Linked DNA regions of Drosophila melanogaster. The protein of the gene in region 2 interacts with the protein of the main gene of each other region in a pairwise test. Each region holds a gene or a part of one and is shown on either strand. Other genes may lie near its edges. The genes, in order: CG15631, fd59A, CycB3 and Baldspot.

Region 1 (7,146 bases), on a different chromosome or scaffold from region 2:
GTTAACGTTTAATTGCTTTTTACTGAAACACAAGCAACACATGCTATCATTATCGTTTGGCTAAACGATTTAAATTGCTCCTCTGCGATTCCCTGTGAATTTGGCCAATATCATTTGATATGCGCTTTGAGACAAAGGCTAAAACCGCTTAGAAACCGCACACGAAAAGGCCGAAACACGGGTTAAAGTTGCAGCCAAAAAGTGGGCCAACAATTGGGGAATTGTACTGGTTTTGCTCTCTCCCCTTTTTTTCCTGGTCCAAATCCTGATCCGGCTGCTGGTCCTGTTTTGCTGGTCCTTTTTGCTGGACGGACTTGGCTCCGCAGGCAGCATAATTAATTGCGGTAATTAGTGTGTTGGCAACAAACAGCAAACACACGAAAACATTCAGCAACAGCAAGTGAAACCAGCAGAAAATGGGCAAAGGGGTGTAAAAAGGGGGGGCAACAGTACCGATGCATTTACTTTGCACAAGATTTGTGGCCCCGCCAAACTCTGGCATATTAGTTGGTTGGTTTGTGGACCAACTTTTATTTACGACTCCAACCGAAGCGAAGCGCTGTATGTCCAGATATACTCGTATATATTTATATATGTATCTCTCGACTGTTGAAAGGCCGACGGCGCTAATTTAGTTGGCCGCCTTGGTTGTTCAGTGGCATCATTAGAACGCGGGAAATGATTTTTATTGCTAAGCAAACGGCGCGGGGGTGGAGGCTGAGACAGCTACTCGGGCGCAAATCTCGGAGCAAAAAGGATCTGTGCGAAAAAGGACATAACCCCCTGGAGGTCCAGTTGCTTCAGCTTGGCGAGGCAAAGAAATCCGGACATTTTGCTCTTTGCCGTTCGCTTTAATTGGCCACTTGGCGAGCACAGAAGAACAATTTAATTTTCGCCATTTTCCTATTATCTCCGTCTGTGGATAGTCGTCTTCTTAGCTGGGCTTTATGTAATTAAGGGCTGTAACAAGGGCAGCCGGGGGGCGTGGCAACGTCTGTTGTGTGTTATTACCACCGCAGTCATTAAATCTTTTGTGTGTAATTAAAAAATTACAATTTAATGCTTTGCGCTCATTTATTGACACGGCGTGCGGTCGTTGCAAAAGCATTCACATCCGCACCCATATCCGCACCGACATCCGCATCCGCCCCGTGGCCAAGCAGCTTCAAACGAGCGGAAAATCGCAGGAAAACCAAGTGGAGAAAATGTGGAACATTGTGTTGGTGGCAAAGGAAAGGGGGATAATAATGAAGCACTGATGGAATTCCTAATGATGCAAGTCAGCTCGTCTACAAAACGTGTTAAGTGTGTATTTATGGCTAGGTAAATGTTGTTAAGACTTCGTATCGCCAACGGCTGTGTGTTCCTTAGTTAATGCTGATTACTTGGTAAGAAAAGGGATTTATATTGTCAGCTTAAGACATGTGATGTGAATAAACAGACAAATAACGTTTGGCCAATAGCCACAACATTTTAAATCTGCTCCCGTAAAAATACAGCTTTGGATTTTAATTGAAAGCCTGACTCTCATGCCTGCAGTGAAAAATGCCGAATGCTAAACTTTCGATAAGCCGAATGAAAGGAAACAGATATGTGGGCGAAAAAAAAAGGGGTAAAACTCTTCGCTGACATGGAAATTGCATTGCACGAATGGTCTCGCCCCCCCCCCATCGAGTCGGGTGGCATATGACCTGGAGCGGATTTCGCGTTGATTTGCTCTAAAAGCCCGTGCGAAACTGACCCACTTGCCGGTGGATTGGTGAATTGGCGGATTGGCGGTTGCAGGCCTAAAATGGCCGAATTCTGCATTTTTTTTCGCAGTATTTATTTGTCCTCTTCTCTTCGCTGCTGATTCAGCTGTCGTCGCTCAAATCGTTGACTTAAAGTGTTGATATTGAAAGCTGGCGGGCACATGGGGCAAGTGATTTGAACTCATGCTGTGCCGAATAATGCTCCTCTCATTTGGAAATTAAATAGCCGGGCTGATTGTTTTGAACCGCACCCAAATAACGGCCACGCTCATTGCTGCTCATTGTGATGCGAATGACGATGGCCAATGGTAAATGTCAATGATGAGCGGAGCATCCATGTCCATGTGTGTAGACAGAAAAATATTTAACGCGCGGTCGGGCAATAAAAGTCACCACGCACAATATGGCGCCCAGTCGCAATGCATATCCGCATACGCAACAGCATCCGCATCTGCATCCGAATCCGACGTTTGGCATTCAACTGATTTATGCGGCTGTCAACGCAGTGCTCCTATTCCTTGCCCCAAAAAGCCCCCCCAAAAAGGCATTCCGGCCAAAAGCGCATATGCGGGTCCTTAGTTGAGCCCCAGTTGATGTGGCTGATTGACAAACCGCGCCCGTTGAACAAATGAACCATTTGCCATGCGGTCCGTCGGTTGTGCAAATGGCAGTGCAACCTGTACGGTTAGCTTTATTGAAACTAATCAGAATTTCCTTTGATCTATGCTGGCTTTTAAAATTATAAGGTCTTTTATTACAAAATTTTAGAAATACGTTGTAAGTTGGCTTAACTATAACTTTTGCTATATATTATTAAAACTGATATCTTTCAAACTGATGGTAGTTTTGTACGGGCACTTTTCTTATATCTTATCTTCATTTCTGTCTGCATATCCATCAAAGTCGTTTGAGTGGAAACTGAGTGTAACTGACTTCCAGTTACACTCCTAGTGTCGTGCTCAGTGATTTTGGTATAGGATCGCGGAACGGAGTACAGGTATTTCAGCTGCTCCAAAGGAAGTCCGAGAACCCTGCCGATATATTCCTTGCCCACCATGCAGGAGCCACGAAGTGGAGAATCGCAACCACCGGTCTGCCGCTTTGAATGATGGTATTCAAAGACGATGCCCAAGTCGCAGTTCTTCGACTTGATGGTATTCCGCACATCAATTACACTAAATGTGAGTATGTTCTGAAAAACTCCCAACTCGATGGCCTCCTCTATGGCCGCATCAGTGACCAGGTAACAACCAAGGGAACAGTCCGAGCTCAGATCCCGCACATTTACGTGATAGACATTGTCTGCTCGCAGAAATATGGATATTACTATGTCTGTCAGGGAACGATCCCAAAGTGAGTCCAGCAGTTGCCTATAGAAGCTATCAAGTATTTTCAAACACTGCCCATGACAGAACTGACAGGTGCTCGAGGTCTTCTTGTCCAGCCTTTTGGCGCCATCCATTTTCTGAATGCACTCTTTGGCCAAATGCTGAACATTGGCATTGAGGCTATTCACCTGCGTGCGGATATCGCAGAGTTCCTGGCTGTGAAGGCCCTCCAAACGTCGATTCATCTCCTCCAATTGGTTGGATAAGTCGCATATAGCCGGGCAGTTGGAACATGGCGGTGGATTCTGCGAGCAATGGGGCTCCTCTGGTATATAGTAACAGCAAAATTGGTCTTCGCTCTTGCAGTCACAGGATTCGTGGGTATCGGAAGTGCAGATTGAATTTGGAAAAGTTTCTTCAATTTCCACTGTAGGCTGACCACGATTTGCTAAAGAATCTTTAGAGCTGTGAGACTTAATAAGGCGGTGACTCTTTGCTTGCTTCTTTGTGGATTTTCGAGAACTATTCGTGTGGTGTGCAGACTTCGACTTGGAGTGATCTGTGCTAACTATTTTGGAATTCTCAGATTGATCCTTCTTTAATTGTTTAATTCCTCCACCTGTGGGCACCACAATCAACGGTCTCATGCAAAATCGTGAAGCTGTTTGATTCCTGGACGACTCCTTCATCCGTTGAGGGGCTGGCTCTTTCGGCGTTTGAGCGGGACAAGATTTTGTAATATCCCTCTGTTGCTCTTGGCTATAGCAAACGTTGATGGAGGACAGGCTGGAATCATGGGACACCGTACATGAGGTGTCCCGGAAGTGCAGATCAAATGTGGGAATATCCTTGGCCGCGGGCTCTTCAAAGGACACACAGCTCTGACGCTGGTTCTCGTGTCCATCGCTGCGTGGGGACTTATTGGGTTCCGGTATGGAACAGCGGGTGATTTTCAGGCTTTTATCGGATGCACTTTTATTGCCCCGGCAGGAAGGTTCATCATTTGTGGCGCAATCAGTTGGCTTCGAGCAAGAAGGCTTACAGGTATCATTTTGCTGGTCGTGGCTTTGGTTGTGTTTATTTTTTTTCTCCTTTCCGGATTTATTGAATTTCGTACAGAATCCGCCAGCTGAGAGGCGGCTATGTGAGCCCTGCAATTTTAGAGTGGTCCTGGATTGAAATCTTCTATGCATGGAATTTTGCACACGGATGAGGGTTGCCATATACCGCTGATATACTCTATTGTATTCTAAATAAAAATTTTAATTTTATGTATTCATTATTAGCAAGCTTTACTCACCCGGATCTGAGCTAAACCTATATATTTTTTGTGAATTCCTCATAATTTGATCTTCTAAATTAAAGTCTGCATTTAGCGGCTGGTTCGAGTTCTGACTAAAATAATGAGCTCGTTTTTCCATCTTGCAACATTTTTATGCTTTGTACTTTTTGTATATAATTTTTGAGCCGAATATTAGAAATTAACACTAAAAGCTACGCCAACTAATAGGCATTTTTTTTACTAAAATATTTATATTCTATTTACTTACTGATTTATACATCAATAAATCGAAGCACAAACGGTTCTGGTTTGATATTCATAACTTTTATTATGGCTCACACACAATTGGCAAACGAAAGTTGGAAAATATTAAATCTTTGGCTAGGTATTATGGTTTAGATTTTACACCACTTTAGCTGAAATACATTTAATTTTATTGAATATAAATAACTTTTGTAAAATATGTGTTTGTTTTTCTCTCGTTTGCATAATATTTGTATTGTGGCAAAGTGTTTAAACTTATTTTTACATCTATATTTTATTCTGTATTTTTTAGCCCTGGAAATTTACACGTGGAATTGTTTTTATTGGCCTTTGACTATTAAAAAGAATTATGTGACATATAAAACTTTTAAATGCTGTCGTTAAGCTCCTTGATATTTATATTAATTGTTTGATGCGTTTAATGGTATTCCAAAACTTTATATATTTATGTAGTTTAGTTGAAAAGATTGTTAGTTATATCGAATGACGGAAGGCATTTGTTTGTATATACTAAACTAATGTACTTTTTTAGTTTTGGCAACTGTCTGATTATATCTTAAAGATTTGGCAACGAGATGCAAAGTTGCAGGGAAAACTTCCAATTCACGTTAAAATATATACTGGAATGTTGAGCAAAGCTTTAGTTTTGCATAATTTTGGGGAGCCAAGGCCAGCAAACCATTGATTATGTCTAACTGCTATGAGGATTTGTTTAAATACATATAAATATCCTATAAGTGATCCACTAATATCATTCAAATCGAAGCACTGAAAGCGTAATAGAAATTCTTACTAAACTTAACATTCTTTAAGGTTACATTAACGCACTGAACTTAAGAGTAAACCAAATTACTTAGACCGAGCAAATCAGACAGAAAAGTGTCGCCGTGTGGACACGCCTTATAGCTATACAAAGCACATGGGGTTTAAGGTCCTGGTTTCCGGTTCCGCTAGGTGCATCACCTGTCATCCTTCATCCGCCTGCAGATTCAGATTCATCCCAGGAACGGCCGCATCAGGACCATTAGTGTCATCACACCCAGTTCCACGCACATATTTCTGGTCTCCTTGACTCCCGAAGAGACTCGGGGCTCCAGCGAAAGTGTCTTGTACTTCTCCACCTTGGTGAAGTCACTGAATCCGGCCAGATTCCGTGATGCGGCCCGCACCAGGTAAACGGTATCTGGCTCTAAGTTCGTCAGAAGGAAGGTAGCCCCTAAAATTTATAGAATCCATGAGTTTACATATCGAATGTAGCAAGAGATAGCTTTTATCTATATTTTAAAGCTTAACTCACCCTCCTCGAAAGCATAATCCTTCCGCCTGGCATTGGTCCACTTGCCCGCATCCGTCTTGAACTCCATTTCGGTCATGTACTCGATGCGGAATCCATTGACCCCCATGGGACTGTCGGGAGGACCTCGTGGAGCACTCAGTACCACATCGAAGGTGTTTGAATTGAAGCCACGCAGCTGGAAGTTGGCCGGTGACGGAGGCTTCTCGCCCTGCTCCAGTCGCGTGGTCCTCTCGATGGTGCCCAGATCGTTCCTGGCGCGACACCTGTAGTTATCGAAGGCGCTGGTGTTCAGCACATGGATGGTCAGACTCGACCAGTAGCTGTCCGACTGGATCGTGTACAGTCTGTTGTTGCTGTGCAGCTTGTTGTGTTTGCGATACCATGTAAAATTCGCTGGAGGTTCCGCCAGTGCCTCGCACATAAGAGTCGCAGTTCCGTTTATGTAGGCGTACTTTAGACTAACAAATGGAGTCTTGGACCAAATGGGCTTGTCTGCACAGGGGAAAATATCAAGGATGATATAAAAAAAACTAAAGTATTTAAAAAGGAATAGGGACTGTTTCGAAATATTTAAGCAAAAAAAAATTGATGAAGATTTCTGTTCTATCTCCCATTTTAAGGCAATTAAAAGTGCCTAAAATCGAAATGAGCATGCATAGCGCCGCAGGAGACAGCTGAAACCGCGGCAGCGCTTAAAGGTAGGCCATGGAAATGGAAAAACCATGTGCGCTAACCATAAATCAGGACCCGGCCAAGTTAAGCCATTAGCTGCATGTGCGCCACGCCCACTCGCACTGGCACTCGTACGCCCACTGGCCACACATCAGGAACACCGGTCGACATTGGGATCCATCAAAAGCATCAAAGGCATGCCGCGAGTGTAATTCCAGAATTTTTCGTGCTCAAAAACTATTTACCGCTCACTGCGCTGCATACTAAGCGCCAACTCGAAATTTGGAACAAAACGGTGCTCAAGTAATTTCGACTGTTTACCCCACCACTTTGCACACTGGGACTTGGTAGGATCAAAAATGTTATGCTCAACTTTAAGTTTGATATAATTTACAATGTATTATTCAAGGAAATTGTACACACTAGTAAAATGGAAGGGCTTTTTTTTAAATAATCACGACTTGGCAACCCAAATTTCAAAGTAGGTTCCCACTGTGGATCAGTTTTCTACGTTTTGGAAATCGTAAATCATACTCACGTTCGATTTTCATC
Region 2 (7,759 bases):
AAAGTCTGGGTTCAGCCAAGCCAGAGACCAATCCCGAATCGGTATCCGCAGTCCTTACCCCTCCTGCCCACTGAGCGCTCCGTTTCATCCGCTTGGCATATCCTTTGCCGGCTTGCTTGTGTGCAATAAATTTGCTGACAAAAGAGGGATTATTGCTGGATCATGCCGCTGTTGCTGCAGCGCGGGATGAGGACGCAGGATATTCATGTAGATATATATAGCCCGGAGATGGAGCTGGCGGTGAGGCTGAGCAGGATGTGCTCCTGGTGGCTGGTTCCTGTCAGCGTGCATTCCTCGGCGTTATTGTTTGGCCATAAGTTAATTGTTCCCCTGCGAAAGCTTTAATGCACCGCATCCTTACGCTCAACTGGCCGCCCGAGTCCTTCGTCCTTCATCCGGACTCCTGCCGTGCTAAGGCGGCGATTAACCGTAGTCTGACAGGGAACATGGATACGGCTGTGACCACGGATTGGCCCAGGATAGTGGCTGTTGGAATCGTTTAATTGCCATGGAAACTATTGAGCAGGCGGATAAGTAATGAAAAGTGGATTGAAAGGGCAAATATTTTCGATATACTAGATGCAACTCGCGGGGGATAAAGTGGGCTAATGTTTTTGAGGATGACTGGTAGCTATAGATAGATTATCCTCTATGCATGGTGAGCTATATTGTTGTTAACCATTCTACCGATACAGTTACACATATATTAATGCTGACTCTAGTCGGAATTAATTACCAATTGTTGTCATTACAGTGTACACATGCAATTAATACTCAATAGTTTGAAACACATATTCCTTTTCGATTTCCAGCATTTTCCAGTAATTGGGTACGTTTTTGCTTGATTTACCTGTTTATAAAGTTCCGAAATAGTTTAAGCGTTAGCTTCGAAAAACTTGATTACATTCTGTGTCCAACCAATTTCATTTGGCTGCCATGAAATGTTCTGTTTGCTCATAAAAAGACAAGGATAAGCCTCAATAAATTTTCCGCCTCGAAATTGGGGAGCAGGCAGAGCAGAAACGACCCCATGTAAGTATTGTATATACACCCTTCTATTTATGCCCCCTGATAATACCAACACTACTAAGCGGGATAAAGATACATACCGATGGCCGATGCCACGCCCCTAAAAATCTGGCCAAAAAATCATTGATTTGTAAGTGTAACAATGGGTAAAAGGTGGGCGGGCGTGGGGGAATTGGCAAATGGGAATTTTGGGGGTGGCAAAGCTAAAATAGAATAATGAAAACGATGCCAAGAGTGAAAGAAGCGACATCAATATGGTTCTGAATTCGAAGATGGCGGCCCTTATTGTATTCGTGTCTGTTTCCATGCATCTGTGTGTGTGAGTGAGTGTTTGGTTGTGTGTGGGTAACTTCCGCAAAACTGGAAAACTAATTTGAACAAAGTACAACAAATAAAAGTGACTACTGAATGTTTAATTTGAAAAGGGAAGGCTCCAAACACTGAATGGCGAACAACAACAATGGCTACAACAACAATGTCTAACAACTGGAGAACAAAAACAGCGAAAATGAAAAAGAGAAATAGTACAAAACTCACTTGGATACAAGTACAAATGCAGCAAACACATGTACGTCCAACCCCCTCCCGTCCCACCCACTCTACTGCTCTCTCTCTCTCACTCTAGTAGCCCCCATTGTGCTCGGAGGATGTTGGTGAAAATGGTGCATTTGATTCCATCTCACTTCCACACCCAAATAAAATATACAGAAAAAAAACCAATATTATCTATATTAGATGTATTGTATATTGTATGTATTGTTTTAAAATTATATTTTATTTCGGTTTTTTCGCATTGCTAAAATGACATAACTGTTCTATGCATTTTTTTTTTTTTTAAATGTATTTAATAATAATACATTGTATTATATACATATTTCAGTTAATCGTTCTTAGAATAACCAACAAAATATATCCTATGAAAATAAATACAATTCTACTTATCTAACTGCAAAGAAAAGTCCCTATAACTTCGTTACTTAACTTAAGTAAGATTTGTGGAATTTGGACTTTACATAATTAAACACATAATTAGATTCTTTTCTTTTTTTTCTTTCTGTGCATAGGGACAGAGGGCTGGGAATGAGATTGCGAGCCCGAGAGAAACCAAGAAACGTCGACATACGGTTAGAAAAACATTCGCACATAAAAATGCCAACATTTGAAGCATAACATTTGGGGCAGAGGAGCAGAGTGGTGGTTGGCAGGGCGAGTGCGAGGACGAGGGAGGGCCGCAGGGGAAAAGGACGCCTGCCTCCATGTGGCTGACATAATGAAACATTATTAAGAGCCACGACGTCAAAGCGGCAAAAGGTATCTAAATTTGCGCAAAATGTTTATCCCCCCCACCGCCGCGTTCGTTGGCTTCTGCAGTCGCTGCCAATTTGCCGCCGCTTGGAGAGAGGAAAACACAAATATCGCATTTACAGCCAGGGCTCTCCACCATTTTGTGAGGACTTGCAGCGAGTGGGAGAGGGATGGCACGAGCTAGTTCGCATAGATTGGTTCGCAGGATATCAACCCATCCCCCGCTAGAAAGAGAGGCTTGGCCGGGCTCTCTTGCTCTCTCTCCCTCTGCTGCGATGCTGTCGGGGCGCAGCCAGGATGCTGCCAGGATGCCGTCAGGATGCTCTGCCCGCGCCAACGGCGACGTCGGCAGTAGAATCACAGTTATTCGAGATACGAAAACACAGCAACGGCGACACAAAAGCTCAGGGAAACGTCAGCGGCAGCGGCAATGGCAGCGGTTTTTCATAAATAAATGTTTGAGTTATGTAGAAAAACATTTTGGGCGAGAAGATTTTCGTTTTCGTTGCGATTCAGTTAACATTTGGCCAGCGGATTCCGCCTTCAACGGACGCGACGACGGACTAGGCGCTAGCCAACTTTCCACTTTCCACACCACTGCTGGCCATATGTACAGTTTATCCTAGCAGCTAAACCGGAAACGACGGTAACAGCGAACGGTTAACGGAAGCGGAAATAGAAAAGAAAATATCAAATTCCAAGTTGAATCGAAAAGCATATGCAAATGCCAAGTGAAGCAAGTGAAACGCCAAAACGAACACAGTTCCTGAGCAAAATAGTTAAATAACAGTGTTGCGTCCTCTAAATTTAGTGAGTCCAATTCGCGGACTCAAATAGACTACAGTGTATACCCGCTAAGACATGCACACCAGCACGGATCCCATGCACACATTGCACGACAGCGTCTCCCTCTCGCCGCCGCTCATCAAAAGCTCCAGAGGCGGCTCCTCCATCGGCAACGGAATCGGATGCAGTGCGTCCTCGCGCACTGCCGCCGCAGATGCCATGTCCATGGGCTGCGACGACAGCGACATCGAGCCGTCGTCCATGGGCGGAAGTGGTGCCGCCGGCGGCAACGGAGACGGCTCGGGATCTTCGGGTGGTCCCCTGGTAAAGCCACCATACTCCTACATAGCTCTAATCACCATGGCCATTCTTCAGTCACCGCACAAGAAGCTCACGCTCAGCGGGATCTGCGATTTCATCATGTCGCGGTGAGTTTGCCAGCAAAGTTAATATCCTTAAATGAAGAAGCAATAGTTTGATTTTTTCCAAGTTATCTTAAAACATCAGAAAAAGAGAATAAAAGTAGTAGTTTGTAAAGACGATAAAAATAAATAAATCCTATAAAATTTCAATTGAAAACATAGAAAAGAAGAGACATTCAGTGCTTTAATCGATTTCAAAAATTATAAATTTTAAAATGTGATATTTTATTTACTGATTGCAATGTAAGTGATCTAGATAAACAACCAAATTCTTTAAAAAAAATTCCTCGAAAAAATGTTAAATAACTTGTGCATTTTACTTGTAGCTTTCCATACTACAAGGACAAATTCCCCGCCTGGCAGAACTCCATCCGGCACAATCTCAGCCTGAACGACTGCTTCATAAAGGTGCCCCGCGAGCCGGGAAATCCCGGAAAGGGCAACTTCTGGACGCTGGACCCGCTGGCGGAGGACATGTTCGACAACGGCAGTTTCCTGCGCCGGCGGAAGCGCTACAAACGGGCGCCCACCATGCAACGCTTCTCGTTTCCGGCGGTCTTTGGCACGCTGTCTCCATTTTGGATACGCAAGCCCGTGCCCCTCGTGCCAGTGCATTTCAACGTGCCCAACTTCAATGGGAGCAGGGAGTTCGACGTGGTCCACAATCCGGCGGATGTCTTTGACTCAGCGCTGCGAGCGGACAAGAAGTTTAACTTCTTTGCGAATGCCGAAGCATCCTTCTACCAGGGAAGTCAGTCGGGGGACAAGTTCGACCGGCTGCCCTTCATGAATCGCGGTCGAGGAGCGGATGTCCTGGATGCACTACCGCACAGCAGTGGCTCCGGCGGAGGAGTGGGCGGGGGATCCGAGAGCAGCCGTGGCTCCAAGTACAAAAGCCCATACGCCTTCGATGTGGCGACTGTGGCCAGTGCTGCGGGCATTCCCGGCCACAGGGATTACGCAGAACGACTGTCCGCCGGCGGTGGTTACATGGATCTCAATGTGTACAATGACGATGCGGACACAGAGGCCGATGCGGAAGCCGAGGGAGATGACGACTCATGCGAGGACAAGATCGACGTGGAGAGCGGCAATGAGCAGGAGGACTCACATATCTCGGACTCGGTGGACAGCGCCTGTACAAATCGCCTGGATGCGCCGCCGGAAGCGTTGATCTTTGAGGCTTCTGCCGAGGCGTCCGATTCAAGTCCAAGGAGACGCTTCGATAGCGAGCCCCTGGTTCTGCGGACCAGCAAACAGAGCAGCGCCAAGGACTTTCGCATCGAGACGCTGATTGGCCACCACCTGCATCGCGGTGGCAGCCAGGAGGAGACCAGCGACTAGGCGGGATTCCCACTCGCTTGAACCAATTGGCTTGTGTACAGTCCATTGAACGGTGATTTCAGTTTCGATCTAAGCACGTTTTAACAGCCCACTAACACCACCACCAGCAATCCCCAGGAATCCAATCCGAGCAGCAAGTAGTGATCAGTAGGTGTATCCGTAGGATGTAGGAGCCAGCACACGAGTTTTTAAATGCGACCAAATCGAAGTCAACGCTATAGTTGCCAGTCCACTTACGTACTAAACATATATCTGCGCGTAATATCTATGTAAATCTGAAGCATCGCACGTCTATAGTATACTTTTAACACGAATTCTTGGGGTCTGGAGTCGGGATTTCAGGTTCTAGACCTATATCTACCATGCAAGTACTAATCATGTGTATGTGTGTGCGTGTGCGTCTGCGTGTAACTGTAACACATCCAAGCAAGAGGAACACTATTAACTATAAATTAGACTAAGATTTTTGCTGATGTTATTGAAAATTGAATAAACAACAACATAATAATAGTTTACACGGATACATGTTTGACTGGTAGGTACCGATATACGTGTTGTTACTACAGCTACTACAGCATGTTACTAATATGTTTGTAGTATACTAAATATTAATTTTTAATCCTATTGATACCTGTAATATTGTATTATTTTTATAATTATATTATTATATGTGGCCACTCTCTTCCTTGTAATAATATCCTTAAAGGGATCCCTCTTTTCGACGTTTTGTTACCTTTTGTTTGCAATAAAACACCCCGAGTTATTTGAATTTACCGCCCAGCAAACCTGTCCAGGTGTGGCACCCCTGCCTGGAAATCAGTTCAGCTTTAGCGCCTGCGCAGTGACCATCGCTCAGCTGATTTGGCGCAGGACGTAGTTGTGCCGCCATAGAACGCCGTGGAGTTCGGCGCTACCAAACGAAAGCTCCGCTCTCCCACGAGCGTCCCGTTGGCTTCCAGTGTTAAAACATGAAAAGCTGCGCCTGGCAGCGGGACAACAGTGTGCCGCCGAAGATACCAACACCAACTATTGGTATCCGCCAGCAGAACTCACGCGCTACGCCGAGAGTACGAACTCCACTTTTGGCACAGTTCGCCCCCGCGGACTCCATTCCGCACGCACACACTATCGCAGCCGTAGATGTTCGTGTATGTGGGCTGCAAAAAGTCGATTTTTCGCTAACAAAAAGTATCCTGTCCTGTGTGGGCAAAACTTTAAATGGCCCGGGCCATAAAAGGAGATTGCCATAGTTGCGACTTGCAGTGGGAGATGTCCTGCGAGGAGCTGCTGCGTCCGAGGTGCTGAGCTCGTTGGGCCGAGAAAAGTTTGTGCCAGTCAGTGCCCGTATCCCCAGAAAAAAGCATCCCCCTGCCATTCTGCTTCTGTGATGAGATTGGTGATAATGAGTGCAACCAAAGGCCCCCATGTATCCACATAAAAGCGCAAGCCGAAAACAGACAGCACCGCGATAAGTAGAAACGTCCAACCACCACAGAAGTATTCATTGCCACGCACAACGACGGCGCGTCCTCGCGGAACGGGAGGATCACGAGCGACAGGATCTGGAGTGCCCAGCGACGCTGAGGCAAACTAGTCGGCTGTCATGGCGGGCTGGCGAGGACGAGGCCTACGCGCCACGCTGCTGGCCGTGCTCGCGTTACTCTCGGGTGAGCAGTTCTCGCATACATCCTTTTTGGGTTCCTCCAAACTAATCCTGTACTCCTCCTACTCCGCCCCCATGCCGCATAGTCACTCACTCGGTGCGCATCACCAACCTGCGGGTGCCACGCACCTACACGCTGTTCCGAGACCACGAACCCGATCCTCTGGTGCTCGACTGCGAGGTGGAGATCGGGCCGCGGGAGCAAGGATTCGTCCTCAAATGGCTGTTCAATAACCACTCCATCTACCAGTGGATACCATCGGTCAAGGGGTTCGCCATGGTGAGTCACTCGGGGTCTTTGGTCGCACCGAATTAATTAAGATTAATCGAACTCTGTCTTTGTCTTCGATTTGTTCTTGTTCTTGCGCCTGTAGGGCTTCATGAAGTCGAAGATAGACACCAAAATATTCACTATGGAGGGCAGTCCCGGTGTTATATCGATAAAGAATCCCGACTGGAACATGACGGGGGAGTACACCTGTGCAGTGCAGACCTTCGAGTCCACGGATAAGCGGAGTGCCCGCCTGCAAATAATCGGTGGGTGTCACGACCACGGCCAAAAGAAAAAGGATCGGCGGTGAAAGATGTGCGGTGGCGATGGGAATGGGAATGGGTAGCAGGTGGTGGTGGGGGTCGAAAGGTCTAAGGTGGTGGTTCTGCCTCTGGTTCTGCCGGGTAACCTGCACCCGCCCCCATCTTGACTTGGCCCCCGCCACCAGGGTGTTTGCATAGGTGTTCTCGTGTCGGTGTTTACACAGGGAGACAAAAATTATGATTTATGTACTTAAAAGCCATTAACAAAAGCCGAGAAAGCCTTACTCTAATGCGCTGGCCTTTATTCTGTCCCACTATTAGCATTCATTCTCTCGCATATCATCTTGTGCCTGGGCAATTCTAATTTAAATTTTCAACGTACCTTTTTAAGGAACTTATATTCTATTATATTTCATGATATTACTTTCTATTTTGTTTTAAAGCAACTTTGTTAGCTATATATATATATATCCATAACTACGGTTTGAATATTTTAATCTTAGTTAGTATCTGAAGTTGTTTTCAGTGCTGTAGGACAACTGTAATTGGCTTAGTCAGGGCGTTCCCAATCGAGTTCCCCTTTTAAATGCTAGGGTCAGTACTTTTTTTTGCTAGTGCAGGTGCTGGGCGCCGTCTGTGTGGCACGTGTGATTCGCTTTCATATTTGCATGCGTGT
Region 3 (8,403 bases), on a different chromosome or scaffold from region 2:
AGCGATTCGAAAGTCACATCCGTGGTCGGATGGGTCAGGTGGAGCTGACGGATCAGGTGGATGCGCTGCGGAGCTTGTCTGACCAGTTGGGCTACATTGACATGGATCGCGTGGCCATTCACGGGTGGTCATACGGTAAGTTATCTCGAGATAGGTGATTGACATTGTTATAGTGGGGTATTTCCCACAACTCTGCATACTATTTAATCTAATCAACAAGCAAGTCATTCTGAACTTGCAAGTACACAGACAGAATGAAGATGCCTTATCGGTTTATGAACGTTAAATTAATGCACTATAATGGTTACTTTCAATTGAGGGAACTGGGTAAAGGTAAAGGCATTGCAATAATTTCCATATGGTTGTCATTTCAACAGGGGGCTATCTTAGCCTGATGGGCCTGGTTCAGTATCCGAAAATCTTTAAAGTGGCCATTGCCGGAGCGCCGGTCACCAACTGGGAGTATTACGATACGGGCTACACGGAACGATACATGGATATGCCGCAAAATAACGAGGCCGGTTACTCAGCCGGTTCGGTGCTCGAATACGTAAACTCTTTTCCCGAAGAGTGAGTTCTTAAGCTGGTTCTTAAATTGTCAAATTTTCGAAACATTCATGTTTTCTTTTGTTCAGGGACAAACGCCTGCTGCTCATACACGGCCTGATCGACGAGAACGTGCACTTCTGCCACACCTCGCGTCTGATCAGTGCTTTGAACAAGGCAAACAAGCCGTACGAGGTGCATCTGTTCCCCGAGGAGCGGCATTCGTTGCGTAATCTGGAATCGAATAAAAACTACGAAACTAAATTACTGTCATTCTTGCAAAACTTATGAGATTCGTAAATGTCAACAGCCGAAACAAGATCGCCTGCTTAGGCAGTAAAACTAGACCCGCCCCACGCCCTCGTCCCTTTGCAATAGTTTTTTACATCATTGTCTTTGTTTTTATTTGAATTTTTGTTGTTCGAACTATTGTTTTTATTCGATAAAGAAAATGAGAGAAAACGAAATTTGTATCATATTTTTAGCATACTTAATTTATAAACGTACGCAGTTGTAAGTATAATGGAAAGTTGAATGAATGAAAGTTTACCTGCCACCCAATATTAGACTTCAGATCAAGACCAAGCAGCTTATTGTAATTAATTTATACTTAATGTTCTACAACACACGTCATATACTCTTAACTATGTTTTAATTGTGTTTGATATCCGCAAATGTACATTTTTCCTATCAGTAATTATAAGTTGTGTTTTAGTGCGTATGTACGAGTATGAGTGACTGTATGCGTGTTTTCCACAGAAACGGAAAAAAAAAACCTTAAACTTGTCATGCCTTTGGGGCAGGCCATCAATTAATGTTAGTTCTACGCATGCATATATATATATATATATATATATATTATATATCTCTTCGATAAACCTGACGCAAGTCGTATGCATACTTGATTGAGTTCTTAGAAACCCGCGTTTGGCTGAAGCAACAAAAACTGAATTAAATTTAATATTAATTATGCCTATATATAATCATTAGTTTTACAACTGATACAAGCAAACGTATATATACATATATTTTGTTTAACATTTAAATAAACAGTTGTGTGTAAAAGCAGGTGTTTTACTTTTCTCTCTTGTTTGGATTGATGGGGATTTTTGGGCACTGTTCAATTAATTAAATAAATATATTTAAACAAATTCCTTTCTGTCAGCTGCTCGAGGCTACTTTGATGAGTTTCTTAGTTCCATAAATTTGCAATTGCATATTTAAGCAAACTGCCCAAATAGTTCAATTCACATGTTTTGAACTTCAGACATTTAAATTAGCCGCGCTCTGGAAGACTACCCCCAATGCCTACCTTCACCACAGAGGTGTATTCCAGTCGATTTCCGTTAGGCGACCGAACGCCGCGGTACGGTCACACTGCAGGCCGCATCTGCATCTGGCATCTGGCGGTGTTTTTTTGATTTTTTACTCAGTGCTCTCTATCCCTCCGGCCAAGCGCCATAACTCCACAAAACTCGATCCGGAATTATATTGTGAGTTTGTGTGAATGTCTAGGCTTGATCGAGTCGACAATATCGGCAGTAGCGAACGACTCAAGTTCTAGCCAACACAAAGACCACATTCTGCAAGGAATCCGCTAGCGAGGATCTTGCTGAAACCAAGTGGAAGTGGAGGAGACGAGGACTCCAGGCGCCGCGCACAAGAACACAAACAACAAACGACGAGTGCGCTCACACGCAAACACGCATTCAAAATGGCGCCCACAAAAGCAACAACGCGCGCGGCCATCACAAGCGGGCATCATCAGCTGCAGCAGGCAGTGAATCCCATCCTGGGAGCCCTGGGAGCTGCCACTAGGAAGGGACTGACTCGGAGGGCGGCTGCCACGGGAAACATCGATCCGAATGTGGAGAATATGCAGACGCGCGCCAAACGCAAGGCCGACCACAGTCCAATTAAAAATGACAAAATCAAGCGCTCGGCGCTGGGTAACCTGACCAACAATGTTAAGATCATGACACTGCATCCGGCACAGGATGAGGAGCAGTCGGGCGTGGGCAAAAAGCCAACGGCCCAGCAGCTGCAGGCCCTGATGGATGCTAAGAAACAGGAGAATCTCAGCGTAAATGTCTTTGGCGCCAGTAAGATGACTACGCGCGCCTCCAGTAAAGTGGAGGATTCGGTGGAGAACTGCCACAAAGTGCTCGATAAGCTGGAAGAGGCGTTGGCCAGGCCCAAACCGCGCCCCAAGGCAGTGCCTGCCGCAAAAAAGACCGTTTTGGGGGAGGTTCAGCTACCGGCCATGCCAAATCCTATGCAGATTCCCGTTTTACTGCCGCCCACGCACAATCTGGCTGCTCCCCAGGTTGCCGCCGTCAAGCCAGTTCGTCGGATCTCCAATGACTTCAACAAGACTGAGGACAGCCTGTACATGTCCGCGCTGGAGGATGTCTCCAGTTGCGACTCCATGCGGCTGTCTGGAAACTTTGAGGCGGCGCGACGTCGCTCCGCCAAGTTGCAGCAAAAGACTGAGCAGCAGCCACAGCCGCTGTTGCTGACACTCCCAGAGACTGCTCCAAGCCAGGTGGTGCCCATTCCGCCAGTGCCCGAGGAAGTAGAGGACTTCGACCGCAAGAACTGGGACGATCCCTTCCAGGTGTCCCACTACGCCATGGATATATTCAACTACCTCAAAGTGCGCGAAGCGGAATTCCCCATTGCCGACTATATGCCCAGGCAGATCCATCTGACCACCTGGATGCGCACCCTGTTGGTCGACTGGATGGTGGAGGTGCAGGAAACGTTCGAGCTGAACCACGAGACTCTGTACCTAGCGGTTAAGATCGTCGATCTGTATCTCTGCCGCGAGGTGATCAACAAAGAGAAGCTGCAACTTCTGGGCGCCGCTGCCTTCTTTATTGCCTGCAAGTACGATGAGCGACAGCCGCCGCTTATAGAGGATTTTTTGTATATCTGCGATGGTGCTTATAATCACGACGAGCTGGTGCGAATGGAGCGGGAGACGCTGCGCGTTATCAAGTACGATCTGGGCATCCCGCTCTCGTACCGTTTCCTGCGCCGCTATGCCCGATGCGCCAAGGTGCCTATGCCCACGCTGACCCTGGCTCGATACATCCTGGAATTGTCGCTCATGGATTACGCCAATATTTCGTTCAGTGACTCGCAGATGGCTTCGGCCGCACTGTTCATGGCACTGCGTATGCACGGCGGTCCGGGGCAGCTGGACAAGCAGACGTGGACATCGACGCTTATCTACTACACCGGCTATCAATTGGCGGACTTTGCTGAAATTGTGACCGCGCTCAATGCAGGACTGCATCGCAAGCCACGGGCCACCATCAAGACGATACGGAACAAGTACTCGCACAAAATATTCCACGAGGTGGCCAAGGTGCCGCTGCTGACGAACCAGGAGCTCTTCCAGGGCAACCTTGACCTGAACGAAAGCAATCTGTCGTAGGACAGCCTCAAAGTTTAGCCAAATTCAACATGATACGATACGCTTCACTTAGGCTCTAAGACGCTTCTATTCCCAATATTAGCCCCATCCCGACGAAACAGCGGATCCCCGCCTTAATCTAAAAACCCCTGATTTTACCCCTTACCTAGTGTTCCCGTCAAGTCCTCGCAATTTATTATATTTTAATTATTATTGTGACCTTCGCATTATTGACATGTTTTTTGCATAAATATTATGTTAAGAGTGCTTTTGTTTCTTTTTGCCATGTATTATTGTTTAATTTTCCCACATACCGCATACGTAGCCGAACACAATCAATCTAAACTCGAAAGGCGACATTATCTTTAGCACCCCCACCCAAAAAATCCCAAAACGATTCATGTTTTAATATGTACGTTAGTCTTAAGAGATGCCAGCATTAAATAAACCTAACTCGTAAGCCACCAAAGCAGACACGGATCCCCACTAACTTATTCTACACAGATACACAAACGCAAGGATACGAAGCGACTATGAAAGGCACGTGTGTCCCGTACAACCTGGAAATGCGCTGCGATCAACCCTCGTCCCGTGCACGCCATGTACGCCATGTGCATCTGTTCCTGTCGTCGTTATTAATGCTGTTATTTGTTAAGTCGTTCATGGACTCCCCTCCTTGCGCTCACATTCCCGCCCCTCGAAGGACGCTCACCATCAACTTCCCAGTTCCTGATCATACCGCCCCGCCCCGCCCTGCCTCAGTTCACCTCGTTTATCCATGGATGGTTGATAACGTTGCATTGTTGAAGTAACTAGTTATGTATGTACTCAGTGTTATGTATGTATCGTTTTGCGAGAGAATACCAATAAACATTTTTACGTCCGTTCAAAAATACTTCAATCTTTTTACCATCATTACATTCGGAAAACGGTGGGCGAAGTGAAAAAATTCTTACTTTTAATAGGGTAAGTGCAATAAATTCGTATTTTTATTTTTCTTTCTAGAAAACTCTTTTAAAAACCTGATGGAAGTTTCAAAATCGGGTGAGTATTAACTCAGATATAACTAGTTGAATGCAATTGTAGTATCATTAGTGTTTATGTTTACTTTAAATAAGTATTTTAAATTAGCTGTCTTTATCCAGCATGTTGGAAATGATCCTAGTTCCTAGGGGATTAAATAATTTAGGGCATTATTTTCAATTTCCTAGAATCTGGAATGTATGTATTTGTTGCAGTTCAATCTTTAATTGTTAGAAACAGAGCATAAACTCCTAGATGTCAAAGGTTAAGGGAAAACGTTTAGCACATCTAGACTTCTTTGCCGTGAGTATACCCATTACCCCACCCATTCTAATTCCTTTGTTTCGAATCCTCTCAGCTGAATCTGTGCTCCTTTCTCCGCGCTCATCATAGAACAGCTGATGGCTGATGACCTAAGGACATCAAACCCTGGCTGGAATCGGTTCGATTTGCTACAGGTAAAAACCACCGATACCGTCCGTCCAAATCATTCATAATCCATGAGTGTAAGTGTCTGTCTGTATACTCGTAGTCTGTATACCCCGGGCATGATTCTCTCGAGTTTCCTGCGGTTCCTTGCTTTTGGCGCGCTCGTCCGTCATTTTAGCGCCAAAAATTTGTTAAGGATTTGCGCGGCAGGCTGCGCATGCGCCGCAAGACATCAAGACGTCGTCCCTTGGTTGGGTTCCTTTCCTTTCCTTCGGCCCTCTCTTTTCCGCTGCACAGCGAAACCCAGCCGATTTATGTCGCTGCAGTTGGGTCCAGCGAAGGGCACCAGGAGTACCAATACCAGTAACAGCGTCTCTCTCTGACGCTGATTTTCTACCACCACCTTTGGCTCGCCCAGAGTCCTGCCTTTGTGCGTTCCCTTTTTTTCGGCTGCCTGCCAGCCAGGTAGCTCCTGTCGTCTTCGATTGTGTCCACGCCGGATAAAAGAAGCGGCATTGCCATAAGAATAAGGAAAAGAATAAGGATGGGATGTGAATGTCTTGGGTTAGCTGTCTGTATGGGAGCAGAATGCCGAGTGCATGTGCTTTATTTTTTCCGGTTCAAGGTGCAACTGGTAACTGGCCAGCATTGCTAATTATCTTGGTTGGGTGTGCAGAAATCAAGTTTATTTCGCAGGGACACACAGGATGATAGGCAAAGACAGCTGCCTCTGGCCAAGGAGGCAGCAGCGAAGTTATGACTACGACTCGGATTACTTCACGCCCCACCAACACCATTACCACTACCACCACCACCGAGGTCCACCCATGATGTCGGCCAGCTTCAGTAGGCCGGCGAGTTGAAGGCACCGTTGTATCCGCCCCCATATCCACTGCCATAGCCAAAGGCATTGTGATTGTTCAGCACTCCAAATGGTCCCTTGTGGACGCCATCCTCCTTGTACTCGGTGTTCATCGAGAAATGATGGTCCCAATGGCTCGGATCAGCGGGATTGTGAGCCGGATAGCGATGATAGTTCATGCCGCTGGTGGCAGGAGCCTGACCAGCTGCTCCGGGCACTCCTGCCACTCCAGGTGCTCCCGGAACTCCAGCTACTCCAGGAACTCCTGGTTGAGCCACAGCTCCGGGTAGCACTCCATAGGCGGGGAACTGGGCTGGTTGAGGGTACGCTGGGTACTGTGGCAAGTATACTCCGGGGTAGGGATAGCCAGGATAGGCACCAGTTCCCGGGAAGTAACCAGGTGCTCCTGCACCCACTGGCTGCTGGGGAGGAACTCCCACCGGATACTGAGCAGGAACTGCTCCAGCAACAGGATAGCCAGGAGGAGAAACAGCACCTAAAAAGGGGACATTTCATTAATATCATAATTTCATATATATTTCAAAATGTGGATTTGCTATTCACCAATCTTTTAAATTTTGTATAACTTTTTTGGGAGTTAAGACTTGATATTAGTTTTCTGATTTCACTAAGATAAATGAACCACCTATTAGAAGGACCTACCTGCACTTTGGTAACCACCGGATGATGAGGATCCTCCTGAAGAGCCTCCTGCAGCTGGGTACGGAACTGGAGCCTGTTGTCCAGGAAAACCCGGAGGCGGATAAGCGGGAATCTGGTGACCTCCTGTAATTGTGAGTGCCGGATTTGGTGACTGGTTGCCAGGAAAAACAACGGAGTTCGTACTGGCCACTCGTACGCCAGAGCCACCCTGCTCATGGCCATGGGCATCGTCGATGGATCCAGTTGCGCCCGCATAACCCGATCCCAGCTGACCAAGGCCAGGATAAAGTTGCGAATTGAGATTGGCCCGCTGGCGATGGCGACTGCTGGTAATGCCTCCCGTCAGAGTGGAGGCCAGGTTAAACTCCGTCTTCTGATCCTCCTGACTTTCGTCCCTGCTGAATTGCGAGGCCTGACCGCTGGCTATCTGGATGAGGGCCAGAGCGGCGAATGCGATGACCCTCCTGCTTAACATGGCGTCTTTGGGTACACTAAAGCCCAGAAGCTCACGGCGCGTGTATTTCATGGTGAGATCTGATGACACGAGAGCTTAGCTGAGTGTCTATTTTTGGGGTTATCATCAGGGGCTCAATGCCCAGATATGTAGTTTAAGTCTCATTGAGTGTTCTTTCTAGTAAATTGAATGAGAGAGTCTACACTGAAAGCAAAAGTTGAAAATATAACACAACAATGTGCATATGCATAGATACTAGCCATAAATTTGAACAAATAAATGAATTTTTTAAAGAAATACCCATATACAAATTTATAAATATAAATGTTATATATAAATTTCTTGCAATGTATAAATTTGCGGCCTAAAGCCAAGTAATAGATAAGTTGAGACGCATTTTTGGTTTAGGGATTTCCCAAGCAATTCATAACTCATCTTTGCATAGATGATGATCATGAGTTATGATCCTCCCTTTATATAGAGAACGAAAGCTTTCCCAGTCAACCTTGTTTACCAGTCAATAGATTAGTATTATAAGTACATATGTACATATAGCATTTGTTCCATTACCCAAGGTTCTTCCACTCGATTCCATTCATCTTTCTTATCGCCATGTGCTGCTGCTGGCTATAAAAGCCGCATGGACATTGGGACTATCAGCAAAATTGCTCTACATATCCCAAGATGCAGTTGTTGGCTGCGATTCTAGTGCTAATCCTGGCCAGCTTGGCCCACGGTAGACCCACTTTCGATAAGATTGCGGAGCTTCTGTTCGGCGACCCAAATCATTATCCGCCAGCAAGGCCAGTTGATCCACAGCTACATCCTGGACCAGGTCCACTCATCCAGGAGGGCTACGAGCAGGGCTACGACTATCACTATGGTGGAGGCTACGGCTACGGTGGTAGCCACCAGCAGACGCATCCAGGTGGCTATGCCTATTACCCACCACGACCGGTTCCGGCAGCAAATGACTACTATCCACCACCTTGGTCAGTGCGTCCT
Region 4 (7,658 bases), on a different chromosome or scaffold from region 2:
CGCTTCAATTGCAAAAAAAAAAATTTCCCCGTAGCAACACACACGCCAAACAACATTTTTCCAACCATTTAAGGACACTGTGCGTGGTGAGAGAATCCACATTAAAGGACATTATTATTTCGAGCGAGGGTGGACCTAGATCCTAGGTCCTCTGTACTCTGTACTCATTTGTCCTCGACACACTATTTCCAGTTGTTGTGATATAAATAATGCAATTTGCTCGGAACAACATGAATAATAGCGAGAAACCAAAGCAACTGAATGACTCAATCGCTTTAAAATTTAAATGATTACAATTATCGGTCATCGTGCTCCTCTGCAAACACATACATACATTATTCGCTGCTTCAGATTTCTATTTTAACCACTGGGGTCCCCACACACGTTGCCCACCCCATCTCATATCGCCCCCTTATGAACCCTCCTCCTTATATGGTCACAAAACATTTGCGCACGCCAAAGCTACACTGGCCAACAGGAACTTGTTTTTCACGCATATTACATCATTTGAATATCTTACTTTATGGACCATTAAGGCTTTGCAACTTATATTTTATAGATTCTTTGTAGAGTGCTTATAAGCTAATTTTATTAGGCATATTTAATCTTTAACCATTTAAGGAGATGTCAACTGTAATACGCAATACGTTATGGATACTAAAAACTGAAATATTAAAATTCTCCAAAGGCTTCGACCTCTTGTTTACTTTTTAACTATAAAAAAAAGCAAAAATCACTTTAAAGTGCTGGTAAATATTGTAAACGCAATCAGGTGGTCCAGTGTACCAGTGTCCAATTGAAGTGGACCTATAGAGCGGCTACATGTCAAAGTGTCCTGTTGGAGTTCCGTCCAGGACTACTACCCACAACCCCGTCTGCGTGGACACACCCACTTCTTGCATGACACACAAGCACATATGTACATACATACGTGCCACATGGTCGCCGTGGAAAACTTTGTCCGTTGGGCATTTGAAATGAAACGAGTACGACATGGCGTGTACCTATAAACCTAATCAGTTTAATGACTTTAATGGCGCACTGTCCGAAACGAGTGAAACAAAACAGAAATTCAAAAATTAAATTCATGAAAGATGAGGTGGAATGCAAGCGGGAAGTCCACTCTCTAAATATGTAAATGTACAGTCGGTGGCATGCGGTCAGGTGCATTTGCATTCTTTCAAAGTTTGCGATTAATTTTGACACGCTGTTCAGAACCGTGGTTGCTAATTAGAGATTCTTAAACATGGCATGGTTTGGAAAACGTCAAATATTGAATATTCATGCATGTGTTTGAGTATTCAAGAAGTTAAGTAGCCATGCTGAGCAAGCGGAAATCAATCCGTTTTAATTTGCCCAATTCATCCTTACCTTGTCAGTTTTTTAACCCCAACAGTTCGAAAGAAACGCCTGCATTTTCACTAAATTCACACCTTTCTGTACCAAGTACATACGTCCATTTGCTTAGCCGACTCTCCTCCATGTGGGCAAATATTGAAATGACATTCCGAAAAAGCCAAGTGTAAGGCAAAGCCAACAACAATAAAGTGAAAAATTAACCGACAGATCCCCCGACGAGTGTCCGCGTAGAGAATCGCCAAGCAACCCAGGGCCAAGCCCCTATATAACTCATCCAAAAACCCAATGGCTTTGGGTCGGAGTGTGGGCAGGAATCGCTACTCCACATTACATTATGCAAGCAATTGAATCATGATGTGGAATTCAGGGTTAGGAAAGCCACATCAAATAGACTTATCTAGCTAACATTTTTTAGAATACAAAGACGTATGTTTCGAAAGATACTCAGAAGGAACTTATATAGCCCGTTTTCCCCAGTTGGACAATAATAAACTTTTCTGTTAGACGGTAGCAACTTTCTACCGAATTTCACAGTGGCCTTAGCAAGGCTATAAACAGCTCCAAACCAGGTGACAAAACTGAATTATGATCTTGCAAAAATACTGTCTAAATGGCATGTCACGAGCCCAACTTAATTTGGCCACAAAGCCCGATGACGACAATTAGAAGCAGGAAGGCAAACACAGTATCATAGGCAAAAACGAAGCGAATCGAAACGAGACAATTGCCAGCACGAATAGCCGCCAATTGGATCCACCACAGGTAAATCAGGTAACAAGGAGGGGACAAACAGCGCTGACTGTTGGAAAAATTGTTAAAATACCCAATCAAATAGGTCTTTAGCCATCGGAAAATACACCTGAATAGTGCGTGCTCAGGTGCGAATGCGAATTGTTGGCTATTTGAGCCCGAGTTGAGGATTCACCTACAACATTAGTGTTTGATTAGCCGTAATTTAATATAATTACACGTGGAACTCAACAGCTGTCTGGGCTAATAACAAATGTACACTTGGACTCCAGTCTTTCCGGAGAATAAACCGAAACAAAGCGCGACTGAGTCAATATAGGGGTTTCCAGGGATTGGTTTCGATAAACAGCAAAGTTGTTTCTACCGACTGCAAGGGGCGTGTGCACTTGTGGGTGTAATTAACGCCGCTCCCCGGCCGCCAGCTAATAATTTTCCAAGGCCAAAGGGCGCAAGTTCTTAACCCAACCGTTATTTCACTGAATTGTCTATCTAAGCCACCAAAGAACACATGTTTTTTAATCGCAAAACTGCTTTAGTTCACATAGTTCAGTTCAGTGTGGCAGACTCACCTAGGCCGATTTTGCATAAAGTGCTGACCACCGAAGATGACCAGCATGTAGATGCCGCAGTAGTAGAACACCCATGTCCAGTTCTCTAGCATCCATTTGCGCGTCCGCTGGTGTATGAAATCGTTCTCGAAGTCGAAGATGTACGAGTAATTGGGCGTAACGCTAATGTCCATGTTGATCATTTTGGTGGGCTTTATGTGTTTGAGTTGGTGGCTATGTTACTTGGGTTATATGCAGCTGTGGATTGACAAGAAAGTAGAGATAGATTAGTTAATGTACTCAGAACTATCTTGTCAAAGATCTTGTACAACTTTGTTAAGGAATATAGCTATTCGTATTAGAAATAGCTATTCGTACACCAGAACGATTTTATTAAATTAATATTAATTTAATATTAACAATAGGTTTTAGCTTCTGCTGATTAAAAACTAATTTAAATATACATCGAGCTATACAGCTGTTTTATTTGAATAAATAAAATAATATACTGAAAGTACCCAATGAACTAGGACGGTTTAAATTTTCTCATTTTGCTCTGTATGACTTTGTTTTTTTATACATTACGTACTTTTAAAATAGGCACACAAAAAGGAAAACACTTTGAATATAATTTTTTAACTTATGGGAACATTCTTTAATTATTAAAACTACAATTTATCTTCGAGTCGAATGTTTTTAGTTTTTTTTACTGATTGCAGTATCTTATCTGTTTCCTAAGTAATGGGGATTTTACACGACGATGTTTAAAGCTTAATTCAGTAAAAATTCCGCACCACTCCCCCTTATCAAAACTCACACGCGCTCTCTCACACACACACACACACAATCAGGCACATAAAAAGCCCGCGTTTTGTCGCATAAATTTCTCGGCGACCTTCCTTTCCCCTTCGTCCCACACCACTCCTCCTCTCATTCATCCATTTCATTGATTTTGCCAGGCAACAAAAAAAACACCGTTGGTCCATGGCTCTCTCTTACTCAATCTTTCTTCCCTCTCACACCCCTTCAAACACCTTCCCGCTCTTGCTCACTCTGCAAGGGATGTGCAACGCTTTCATGAATGGCGCACGCTTTGTGGTTATCTTCATCTACATTCTTCCGCTTTTCACACTTTTCACACCTCGTGCTGAAGCTTAAATGGATACACAAACAACTTGATACACAAAGAGAAACATTGCTCGTCAATCGGAGGTAAAATCTTGACATTAATAATTAAGTTTAGTTAAATGTGCATGAGTTTTATTTTAAATATTTAATTTAAATGTGAGAATTTTAAGATCCCCAAAATCTCTAGCCGAAAAACTACACTAAAACTACAAATTAAATACATTTGGAGTCTCCGAGTTTGGTTTTTTTTAACATTCTACTTTTATATCTTGAAATCACAATACTAATAGCTGAATCCAGGGACACTCTGAGTCCTGTAAGCTACCCCGTTATTACATCACTTTTCTCACAGTGTTCTGGGAGCACATGAGTGAGGGGGTGGCTGTAACGGAAAGTGTAATTGTGGTAGTTTACAGAGAGCGCCAGTCTGGCGCGCTCTCTCTTCCTCTTTTTCTCTGCCCACGAAAGTCTCGTGCGAATTAAAAGAACTTGAAGGAATGCATAAGCAAACAGCGAAACCCAGCAAAATACAAATGAGACAGGGCAACTTGCCGGTGGGAGGGAAATTAGTTTGAATGCCTAATTGCATGCCAGACACGCGACTAATCATACACACACTCGACGCGCTCACACTTTTACGCACTCTCACTCACTCTCGCACACACAGGTGATTTCGTTTTGCCATAAGCTTCGCTTTGGTTTGATTTGGAAGCTTTTTCTGTTGTTTCTTTTTGAGTAACATATCCGGTTTTTTGCGCGAGCGCTTTCAAAAATTTCTAGTGAAATTTTTTCGATGCTCCTAGCGGTTTTTATGTTTCCGAAAAACAAACTGCCCCTCCTCGCCCTAACTTTGCTCTCACGCAAAAACACGCGATCTTTGCCGAATTTTTTCCATTCGTATTCTGGTTCCTGCTGAATCGATAAAGTTCTCGGTTAAATCAGCAAATGTCTGGGAAATATGTTTTTGCCTCTCCTCTCTTTCGTTCTCTCTCGCAGCATCGGATGAGAAAAAAGGGGCGCAAAATAAGGAGGAAACCAAACCACCGCAAAACATCAACGAGAACACGCACTCACACAGATATCACAGAAAACACGGTTACTATTTTCGAACGCTGATGTCTATGAGGTAATTACATTTGCTCGCCGCCTCTTATCGCAGTATCAATTGGCTGGATCACAACACACACGGCTGGCTGTCACACACTTCTGCCCCAGCGACTCGGTTCAGCAAACTCAAAAAACTATCGAATTTGCCGGCGCAAAGCGAACTGAACGTTTAGCTGGCGGTTCGGCTGCTTTATCGCTATACTTATATATAGGAGATATTTTAGTACCAATCATGGCGCTGGTACTTTTGCCATCGCGGTATTTTTCTGCGGCTCGCGTGCGGTCACATCTAGCTGCGTGCGGGTGGAGCTCTATGCACACTGGTTCCACTCCTATTGGGTACTAGTCAAACTTACTTATGTTGCAAGGAACAGTTAAGCCACTAGTGTCTTTGGTTAAGCGTAGCAAGATGCATTTGTATGCCCAAATTATTAAACAGTATCGCGAGTTATACAGGAATATTTTTGTTTTATGGTTATACCGACATGAATCGTTAAAATGTTTGGGGAGAACGTAAGCTGGTAAAAGTTAAAACGATGATCGATCTTTATTTAACTTTTTGATTTGGTTGAAAGTAACGATTCTTTGTTCGTGTTGCATACGTAGACACAAAACTTAAATACCATATCACTTTACGAGTAATGGGTATTAGGTAAGGACCACAGCTCATTGGTGTGTAACTTGGCTATTAGTTAAGCGATGGTAAAGAACTATGTGGATTCCATCATTTAAATTTAAGACCGACCGTACAAAATATAACGCTCTGATCGATAAACGGCATTTAAGTGGAATAAGCTTTTTTTTTAATTTGAATAAGAAGCGCATATTTTGTAAAAGATCACTATGACTTTTTGCCTTTCAATATGTTTTTTATATTTTAAAATGTTTTAATACGAAGCTTATATATTCTTGTATAAAGAGTAGAATGGTGTATTCCGAATGGGAAACTATTTTGATCAAAAGTAAAACAACTATGGTTTCTTTTCCTTTCCTATGGCAACATCAGATCGCTCAAAGCGTGTGTGCCCTTTGAAGTATGCTACACTTTGTGTTGCATGGGACCCAAATACCCAAACTTTGGGTGCAAAAATATTTAAAACTCATTCTCAAATTGTCTGGGTGTGTTTTGGTTTATTGTAGATGCTATATTCTATTAGAGTTTAGACATTGGTTGAAGGAGTAGTGAGAGCATTCGGTATGAGGATTCTTCCTCTACACCCAATGCAGTTAAATATATTAAAGCGTTGTACCAGCCATTGTGCAACATACGGTTGCCACTACGATCTACGGTCTTACATGGCTACTTATGTAAGTCATATCCTACTAGATCACAGTTGGTGGGGGCCTGAGGACAGCCCTCCCTTAACTTTATTGAGAAGCTCTCCGATCCGCAACGGGATCTGGACTAGAATAGGCCCATGCTGGACACGTTCTCCGAGAGGATCATCTTCTGGACATCGCAGAAGACATCACGGATGCATCGCGTATCCGTGGCGACGGTGAAGTGGTAGTAGCACTCCCTTTCCGAGGTACCCAGATCCACCTGATTCCGTGAGTGTCGCTTGAACGGCTCCTGTGTGATATCCACCAGCTTCTGTTTGATGAACATCTTCGTCCAGTCACTCTCGCCAAAGCAATTGTCCTGCTGCGGCCTCTTGCAGAAGTCCTCGTATTCGGGAAAGTAGTCCACAATGTGCTTGCCGGCCCGAATCTTTCGCTCCATGATGTCGTACTTGTTGAGGAACACGATCAATCCGGCGGAGGCGAGGAAACGATTCTGCCACACGGCTCTGAACAACTTCAGAGCCTCCTGCAAACGATTCTGGCTGGGATCCTCGCGCAGATTCTGATCGAACTCGCTGCACGAGATCAGGAACAATACGGCCTGTATGCCTTCGAATACCTGAATCCACTTATTCCGCTGATCCCTTTGGCCACCCACATCGTACATTTGGAACTGCTGTTCGCCACCACCCATGCTCTTGGGAATGGGTACGCGGAAGGTGATTTGCGAGATGCCGGTGGTGATCTTACGGCTGTGCAGAATGTCCTCGGTGCTGGGTATGTATTCAGCATCGCTGATCCGCACAAAGTTGTCCAGGAAGCTGGGGTAAAAAAAAATTCAAACTTTAGTAAGGTTTTTTTTTGAATAAATGGGAAAGAAATCTGATTTTGAATCAATCCAATTAGATACTTACTATTTCGCACTATCCAGCAGGGGAAACTCATTTGAGCGATCATAGCAGGCGCGAATACCCACATCGTTCCACAAAGTAGTGACGTGGTCGCAGTACTCCTAAAAATACAAAAAAAGTAACCCAAAATTAAGTATTGTTTTCAAGTCAGTGATGGAAAATAACATCAACTCTTCACCGGAAGATTGCAAAAGCCGCTTGGACAGACAAGTACGAAAAGCTAATCCGGTAGTAAAATTGTCTAGCTAACCGTCTAAAAAAATTCTATTTGCTGAATATATGATAAGGATCATAAACGCCAAGATTGTGTCACTTTGCAACTGTCATACGAATGATCAACATCAACATCAAAGTAACAGCACAAAGTCAACTTTAAACTTAAAAATAAAATATAAGAACCTCCAAAAAACATACTCTATTTTGGTCTGATATGATTATTTATTTCCTCAGTTAACTTAAAACTCTGAACGTATTCGAGTCACCTATTCAAACAGTCAGTCATAAAGCAAGGGGAATCCGAACTTCGGTACTTCTTTTGTTTATGCTTGGCATTACTCACTGGCAAAACATA

Evidence for each region.
Region 1: the proteins of fd59A (region 2) and CG15631 interact in a two-hybrid assay, tested with the Drosophila melanogaster proteins (one large-scale study listed by BioGRID).
Region 3: the proteins of fd59A (region 2) and CycB3 interact in a two-hybrid assay, tested with the Drosophila melanogaster proteins (one large-scale study listed by BioGRID).
Region 4: the proteins of fd59A (region 2) and Baldspot interact in a two-hybrid assay, tested with the Drosophila melanogaster proteins (one large-scale study listed by BioGRID).

The regions. Positions count from the first base shown.
Region 1 is NT_033779.5:4,729,927-4,737,072, forward strand, and holds CG15631 (uncharacterized protein), read right to left. Parts: upstream 4,533-7,146; 5' UTR 4,501-4,532; coding exon 4,380-4,500; intron 4,329-4,379; coding exon 2,581-4,328; 3' UTR 2,487-2,580; downstream 1-2,486. Other genes in the region: fipi (factor of interpulse interval), read right to left, coding at 5,621-5,841, 5,923-6,414, 7,133-7,146.
Region 2 is NT_033778.4:22,865,307-22,873,065, forward strand, and holds fd59A (forkhead domain 59A), read left to right. Parts: upstream 1-2,852; 5' UTR 2,853-3,195; coding exon 3,196-3,548; intron 3,549-3,868; coding exon 3,869-4,886; 3' UTR 4,887-5,400; downstream 5,401-7,759. Other genes in the region: CG13532 (uncharacterized protein), read left to right, coding at 6,490-6,553, 6,636-6,829, 6,924-7,086. UniProt on the Drosophila melanogaster protein: Involved in development during embryogenesis.
Region 3 is NT_033777.3:24,864,386-24,872,788, reverse strand, and holds CycB3 (cyclin B3), read left to right. Parts: upstream 1-1,972; 5' UTR 1,973-2,260; coding exon 2,261-3,988; 3' UTR 3,989-4,855; downstream 4,856-8,403. Other genes in the region: CG3744 (uncharacterized protein), read left to right, coding at 1-135, 378-570, 636-837; Elal (Elastin-like), read right to left, coding at 6,263-6,777, 6,945-7,419; Srg1 (Sting-regulated gene 1), read left to right, coding at 8,083-8,403. UniProt on the Drosophila melanogaster protein: Cyclins are positive regulatory subunits of the cyclin-dependent kinases (CDKs), and thereby play an essential role in the control of the cell cycle, notably via their destruction during cell division.
Region 4 is NT_037436.4:16,656,552-16,664,209, forward strand, and holds the start of Baldspot (baldspot), read right to left. Parts: upstream 5,065-7,658; 5' UTR 4,920-5,064; exon of another isoform or gene 4,860-4,919; intron 2,916-4,859; 5' UTR 2,861-2,915; coding exon 2,679-2,860; intron 1-2,678. Other genes in the region: Galphaf (G protein alpha subunit f), read right to left, coding at 6,298-6,997, 7,091-7,188. UniProt on the Drosophila melanogaster protein: Catalyzes the first and rate-limiting reaction of the four reactions that constitute the long-chain fatty acids elongation cycle. This process allows the addition of 2 carbons to the chain of long- and very long-chain fatty acids (VLCFAs) per cycle.